Linked DNA regions of Kluyveromyces lactis. The protein of the gene in region 1 purifies or fractionates together with the protein of each later gene. This does not show direct contact. Links are inferred from orthologs where the notes say so. Each region holds a gene or a part of one and is shown in the gene's direction. Other genes may lie near its edges. The genes, in order: MCD1 and SCC2.

Evidence for each region.
Region 2: the proteins of MCD1 (region 1) and SCC2 purify together in Saccharomyces cerevisiae (affinity purification with western blotting; 5 studies listed by BioGRID, with this or other methods). This does not show direct contact. The link is inferred for Kluyveromyces lactis from reciprocal best matches to the Saccharomyces cerevisiae genes MCD1 and SCC2.

The regions. Positions count from the first base shown.
Region 1 is NC_006042.1:1,367,394-1,370,782, forward strand, and holds MCD1 (kleisin alpha), read left to right. Parts: upstream 1-800; coding exon 801-2,603; downstream 2,604-3,389. Other genes in the region: RQC1 (Rqc1p), read right to left, coding at 2,716-3,389. UniProt on the Saccharomyces cerevisiae protein: Cleavable component of the cohesin complex involved in chromosome cohesion during cell cycle. The cohesin complex is required for the cohesion of sister chromatids after DNA replication.
Region 2 is NC_006040.1:1,532,597-1,536,532, forward strand, and holds the start of SCC2 (cohesin-loading factor complex subunit SCC2), read left to right. Parts: upstream 1-985; coding exon 986-3,936. Other genes in the region: pseudouridine synthase PUS5, read right to left, coding at 1-631. UniProt on the Saccharomyces cerevisiae protein: Plays a structural role in chromatin and is involved in sister chromatid cohesion. Forms a complex with SCC4 required for the stable association of the cohesin complex with chromatin, which may act by hydrolyzing ATP from SMC1 and SMC3 heads.

The DNA.
Region 1 (3,389 bases):
AGGTTGATACAAGTGATGTCTCGATTCCGTTTCAAAAGGGGGTTCTAGTCTTTGTTTTAATGACCAACAAACATAAATCTTTCTTCAATATACTATTCCTTCCTTTCTAACAATATCAAAGAAAACACTGGATCGATTATAATTTGTCTATCCCCGTTAAAAATATTATCAATTAAGAACCGAATTGAAAGACTTAGATTTTATATTTTTTAGCAGAAACGATTTGTGTGTAACTGATGTCTAGTTTTAAGATTCATATTCATATATACCGATTAAACTGACTGCGCATACTGAGAGAGATGATCTGGTTTTGGCATCAACAAGAGTTAGAAAGGCAGGGTAATAAATGGGTATAAGGTCCTCACTTGTTACCCGGATTTTATACCACGAAATCGAAATTTTTCCGGCGGGAAATCTTTTGAGGTCCCAGAAAAAGACATTGTTTTCCCCCAAAAATATTTTCGCGATTTTTCTCCATAACGCGTTTCCGTGATGAGATCTATAACCAGCAATCCTTTAACAAATATCATTGATAAACACTGGATGAGAAGTATGTCTATTCCATCATATTGATTGCACCTTTACCAATAATTTTATCAAATATATATATTACCTATGGAATTTTAATGTCGTGACCTCTGAAAAAAGACACAGTGCTATTTTATTTCATTTTTATTTTGCTAACCATTCCTTATAAGATCAAGTTCTAATCTCGATCTTAAGTTTATATCCATTTGCTATACCATTTGCAACAGGAACCACGAGCCTTATATCACCTAATCCAAAAATAAACAACGTATATGCCACCAAATAGCAATTCACATACTCAGGTGAGATTAAATACAAGCAATGGGCCGTTGGCTCAGATCTGGCTGGCTTCCAATTTGAGTAGCATCAATCGGAACATTGCAAAGACTAATATCGTGGAATCTGTTGAAGAGATTGCCAAAGCTGCAGGTGTTAATCTAGATGATGAATCTGTGGAACCTATCACATTACGTGCTTCCGGTGAGTTACTACATGGTGTTGTAAAAGTTTATTCTCAAAAAGCATCCTATCTGCTTACTGATATCACAGACTTACTGAGTAAAGTGAAATCTATCTTCAAGGGATCGCTGAACAAGAGCGTCACAATTCAGCTAGATACAGTGGCAAAGTTAGATCAGCTTTTATTGCAAGATGCGGTTACAGAACTTGACGTCTTGGAGATGCCCAGTTTGGATTTCTTGAAAGATATCCAAGTGCCAGAAGGTTTTTTGATCGCTGAACGATCAATGGAAAGACAAGTGCAAGGAGCAGCACCTGTAACATCCGCCATTGCAGCACAACAACAAGCATGGGATATGTCCTTAGAAGTTGGAAGGCGATTCCTGGCAGATGAAGATGATGACTTGAATGCTATTGAACATCACGATTCATCTCATTTGAAATTAGATTTTGACCTTGGTGATTCTAATCAAAGCAATAACACTAAATCATGGGGTGAAGGGACTCGTGTTACTGCTAGTGAAGTAAACGCGGATGATGGAGAAAATGAAGGTGATTTGACTATTAGAAATGACAATGACGATGATGATGAATTGCTACCACTTAACGATGATTGGGATTTGGGATTAAACGATGATGATCAGAATATTTCTGGTAATCAGTCTAGCCATGGTAGCGACATGTCTGTAGAGATCGGGAGAAGGGCTGATATTACTCACTCATTGCATGATGATACACTCTTAGACTTTGATCTAGGGCTGCCAAAGGACACAGAACCAGAGCATCAAGAGCAAGCAGAGGCATACATACCACCTAGAGCAGTAAAGAAGAGGGCACCAAGGAATAAAGCCTTTATCAATGTTAAGAAGGTTCTCATAGATGCTGATGCCGAATTAAACGATTCTGAAGTGAAAGGAGGACCATCGGACTCAATTCTTATCGTTTCTGATGAGACTTCGTCCGCTATATCAAAGAAAAAAAGAGCCATCGATGAATTATACTCTGACCTGGACTTCCTTCCTCAAAAGATTATATCTAATTTCTTCAACCATAAAGCTTCAAAGAAGCCTAGAGCTCTGTCACAATCCAGCCAATCTGATGGGTCCGATGTTGATATAGATATCTCTTTGGGTATCGATGGAAGTTTGGTACACAATTCTGATCCATTCGATCACCAACAAATGGGCTTTGATGCAGAATCAGAAGGACCAGTGTTTGCTGATGATGAACCTCCAGTTCTTGCAGCTGATACATCCATGGAAGAAAATGATTACCAAGCCATTCAATCAGACGAATTTGCCTCTCGTGGGTCAATTGAAAAGGAAAAAAGTCAAAAAGTAGAGCTTGCTACCGGTGAAATCGTGTCTAAATCTACAGTGGAAATGGCAACTCTACTGAGAGATGAAATGAGCTCCGGTGAAGCTACTTTTGATAAAATCCTTACTTCGAAGTACCAGGATAACGCGGTAATAACAAAAAGAATGGCCAGTAAAGCATTCTTTGAGTTACTTTCTCTTGCCACCGCAGACTGTATATCATTGAAACAGAAGGAAACATTTGGACAAATCACAATTTTAGGAAAATCAAACTTATATGAGACGTTTGTTACCGCATAGACTTTTAATTTGGATACTTTTATAACGGACATTATGTATAAATAATTAATAATATCTGTTTTTTTAAGTTGGTTTAAATATACATGACGGCAGATCAGTTCAAGTTGTTGTGCTATTCGATTTCTTCATTTGGTTGTTGCTGTTGTTGCTGCTGCTCCAAGTATTCTTGTATTGATAACTGGTTAATGTGTTGTAAAAGCTCCTCATCAGCGAACCTGTTCATTTGGGATATTTCTAGATGTTTACTATCAATTAGTCCTTCGATTGTTTCTACTACATACTCACTTTCTCTATCATGTGGTTGTGGTGGTAGTACATCGAATTCAAACACAGAATGATCTGACCAAATTTCTTCGGGAATAGCAGCCATAACGGATGACTCTTGAGAAAGAATAGCAAACCTTAACAAATTAATTGGAATGTTATTGATGAAGAATGATGTTGGCGCCACGTCGTCATCATCATCGCCATCATTTATATCCTTCACTGCATCAGTGTCAAACGAAGTGGAATTAAAAATGCTTGCTAACTCATCAAGTAAAAACTTCTTAGCTTCCGCTTCCTTCCAAATGGCGCCCATTCTAGTAGTATAAGCTTTTGTCTCGATAGAAGCGCTCACAGTAGGAGGTTTTAATTTAATTTTCAATTTGGATGGATCACCAAGTAACACTTCTTCGTATATCCTGTAAAGAGATGAAGGATATTGATTCCAAACACGTTTTAACAACTGCTTAGCTTCTTCAATGCAGGACAATTTCCAATAAGAATATACGGCAGTCATTCCCA
Region 2 (3,936 bases), on another chromosome or scaffold:
TACCACCGTATTTCAAGTCATTATAAATTGGCGAATCAAGAACTTGCTGTGTAAGTTTCCGTATCTGATGCTTCTTCCCAGTTACCAACTGTAAAATTAGGTGTTCATTGTCGACACGCTGAAAATATGTGATTGCACCATTCCACTTTATGAGACCTTCTTTACACTCATTCGCAGTCTTAGATTTTCCAACTTTTGCGACATACTTTCTAGTTAGTGAGAATCCTTTATTCCCGCCATACCTTAGATTTCGACTAAATTGTTGTGCTGACTGTTTGTTTACAGCATATACTATTCCACCGGATACTGGTGTGTCAATCCTGTGGATGGGGTAGTACGATGGTTCATATGTACCGTCCTTCAGGATGCTTCCACTAGAGCTTTGAACAATATCCAATAACACTGGGGGATCATAGTCGTGAGTATTGTACCACGTTCGTTTGTCAGGTAATTGAGAAAGGGCCAAGGGTGGCTTATTAAAAATTACGTGGTGCTTGTCACGCCAGAGCTCTTGTACTTTTAAAGGGAATTCCACTTCACAATGTGTAGCCTTAGCGTTTGTCGACTCCGGGGAGACGATTTTAAAGATCTTCACGAAAGGGGGTTGTTTTATGAAGCCTCTACGTAGCATATCAATTAGTACTATGATTTAAGCAATGCAGATGTACAGGAACTAACGGTTTTCTCCTCTCAGCTACATTCATGACTACTTATGCTTCCCTCATCATTCTCATGATATTTTTCTCAAAACTGCAGCAGCCTTTTTCAAATCAAGAAAGCCGAATAGATATATAAATAATTAATGAGACGAATACTAGATCTCTACAGCAATGAACGGTCAAACGATTTCATCAAGTTGAAAGAAGCAACAGCAGATAGTTTACACCCGGAAGCTCTATTTCATCTGCTTTTCTCTGGGCATTATCATCTTCTTCAAATAATACTGCCTTTCCAGTAATATTCTGATTACTGAGCAGTGGCGGCTATGGCGAAAGGGTTTCCAGGCGAAACTGACAATGAGATTCCCAAACGCATCTCTGAAACACTGAAGTACCAGCCAATTAACCACATAGTACCGAAGTCAGGGCTATCTAATTTGCTGAGTTCTTCAATAACCGAAGATATCAGTATTTCATGTAACAGTGCGTTCGGTTCACCCCCATCTGAACATTGGCTATACCCTCACCCTATCGATTTCGACCCATTTAACGAAGGCGACAGGGACCCCATTTTATTCAGGAGACCCAATAATATTACTTTAAGAGATGAGTCTCAAGAAACTGCTCCTGATCTGAAGCTTCTGAAAAATCTTCCACAGCTAGGAATCAGGTGCCTGACTGTTACAAGCCTGGTCGATTCTGCTAGTATTGTTGCGAATGTTGCTGGAAATCAGAACACAGCTACTAAAAAAAGAAGGCTAGAAGCAGGGGAAGACAAGGTATTGCTGAATGAGCTGGATTCCAAACGGATTCAAATTTGTGTACAATCTAATCCGATGAATGACTTGGAAGTTGGAAAACTTTGTCTTGATCATCTTTCGAAATTGTTAGATTCTGTCGGACTCAATTCTGAAGGGAGTGTTAATGAAAACGCTAAATTCTGGAAGCCATTAGGTGATGTTTACGTTGCTACTTCGGAGGCTATAGATGCAATATCGTTGACGATAAATAAAGTTCTAGGATTTCCGATGGTATTTGAGTATATTGATGTTCAATCTCTTAAAAAAATACTGGGTCTTTGCACTAGAAATATCAAAAGAATCCTAGCATATCAATCAGACAATGAATCTGAGTCCTTAGATCTGAATAACCTTACGTTTGGTTGCGCATTTTTAATTCTTGAAGTTATGATGATAGATCTCAAATCCGCAAACCTTCAGTTAGAAGAATATTACAATGCTGTGTTCTCAGCGCTTGATAATGCGCTCGAGAAGTTACATGTTTCGGACAACTCAAGAGGTATTAATGCAGATATTGGAAATATATTCTTATTCATCAATTTATTGGAAAAGTTTGTCGCCTCTCAATCATACTTGGACGAAATGTTTTTGATCAAATCAGTGTGCATTTGCTGTGATATGCTACTACACAGATGCTATCAACACTTAAACACTAATGTGCTTTTATCGCAAGCGGAGCGGATAAAAGACCTTTCTCTTGGAATATTAATATCACTTTTTTCTGAGTATCCATCTCAGCGGCTATTTATTACGGAAGAATTATTATCACACGTGCATGATATAGTAGTCTCAAAATCCACTAAAAAACTGAAATTGGTCGATGAATTTGAGAATGGCTACGCATCGTATTTTACTGTCGCCCTTGTTGCCATGTTCCAGTCAATAAATGCTTTGCCTGATGCTGAGCTATTGTCAGATTTTACGTCTGAATTGCTTGAAAATGTACTGTCCGAGAATAATGCCGCAAGTTTGGAATTGAAAGGACTAATCGATAACGTCACAACAACTTTATTCGAAGGATTGATTACGAATCCTTTCAAATTCAAATCAATTGTGGAGATTTACATCCAAGATTTGCTAACTATGATAGGAAACCCGAAATGGGCGTATTCTCATCATTTATTAGAAGCTTTTTTGCCGAAATTGTTTCAGATATTCAGCCCTACGTATCAAGGAACAGGAAACTTCGAAGTGCTTGCTATTCAACTTGTCGGCCAAATTACTGCCACTTTGACAGACGTTAAACTGAGGGCTGCATCCGAGGAAAGTAGGGATGTAAAAAGGATATTTAATTTGCAAAATGAGTACAAAGAGTGTTTCGATTGGTTGGGTTCGCAGACCAAGACATATTTTTCCGATAGAGCATTGTGGAATGAATCACTTTTTTATATCAGTGAGATGTTAGATCAGAAGGAGATAGACAAAACAGACGCACAGGTAATGAATTTTGTTATACGTATAATAGCAAAAGAAATAAGGGAGACAGAAATAAGCGAGAAAGAAATAAGCGAGAAAGAAATAAATAATGGTATCGATGGTAATGAAAGAGTTCGGTCCCTTTACATGAAAATTGTTTCACTTAGTCCGTTGTTTAACTTTTATGAACCCGCTTTGAGGCTCATTCTTTCGTTATTGGATCAACAAAAAGTAAAACTTAAATCAGGAGCAGTTAAATGTTTGACCCTATTAGTATCAAAGGATCCTCAGATGTTAGATACTCCTTTTGTTCAGGAAACCATAAAAAACAGACTCTATGACTCTTCGGCTTCCGTTAGAGATGCAATTTTGGATCTTCTAGAGCAGGCCACAACCTACATTCAATTCTACCGAGAAATAAACTGTAACTTTGACGATGACAGTATAGCAGTTCGAAAACATGTTATGCGGATGAATGAAAAGATTCTTGATACAAGTTCCGACCTGAAAATAAAGACATTCGTTTTAGAAAAAGTCTTGAGACGAATTGAGGATGAAGAGGATGTTATCGTGGAAAATGCCAGGAAACTATTACTTCATAGACTAATTTTGAGACATAGTGCATCTGACTTGTCCGTAAAACTGCATAGATTTGATTTATCAGAAACCCTCGAGCTATTATCAACACTCATCGGTTATGGTGGCAAGACTGAGGAACTGTTGGAGTTCTTCTTTCATTTTTTCGTATTGAACCCCTCCATTCATAAGAATGAAGATACGAAGTCGATATTTGATGCTTTAAGAAATCTTGTTAATGTACTTATTGAAGAGATTACTGAGAATGCAGCATCTGCAGACGAACTGAGTGAATCGAATGCAAGAAATAGATATGACCTACTTTATTTTTTTGCCAATTGTCCGATCAATTTCATATCAAAACCGCATCTCTACTCACTCTTTCCATATCTTTCGTCAAACTTTAACGGTAAATGTTATTTACTGCTTTTGAAGGTCTTTCGCTCCTGCATTAAGAAACATAGCAATATCAAGCTCAAATTTTT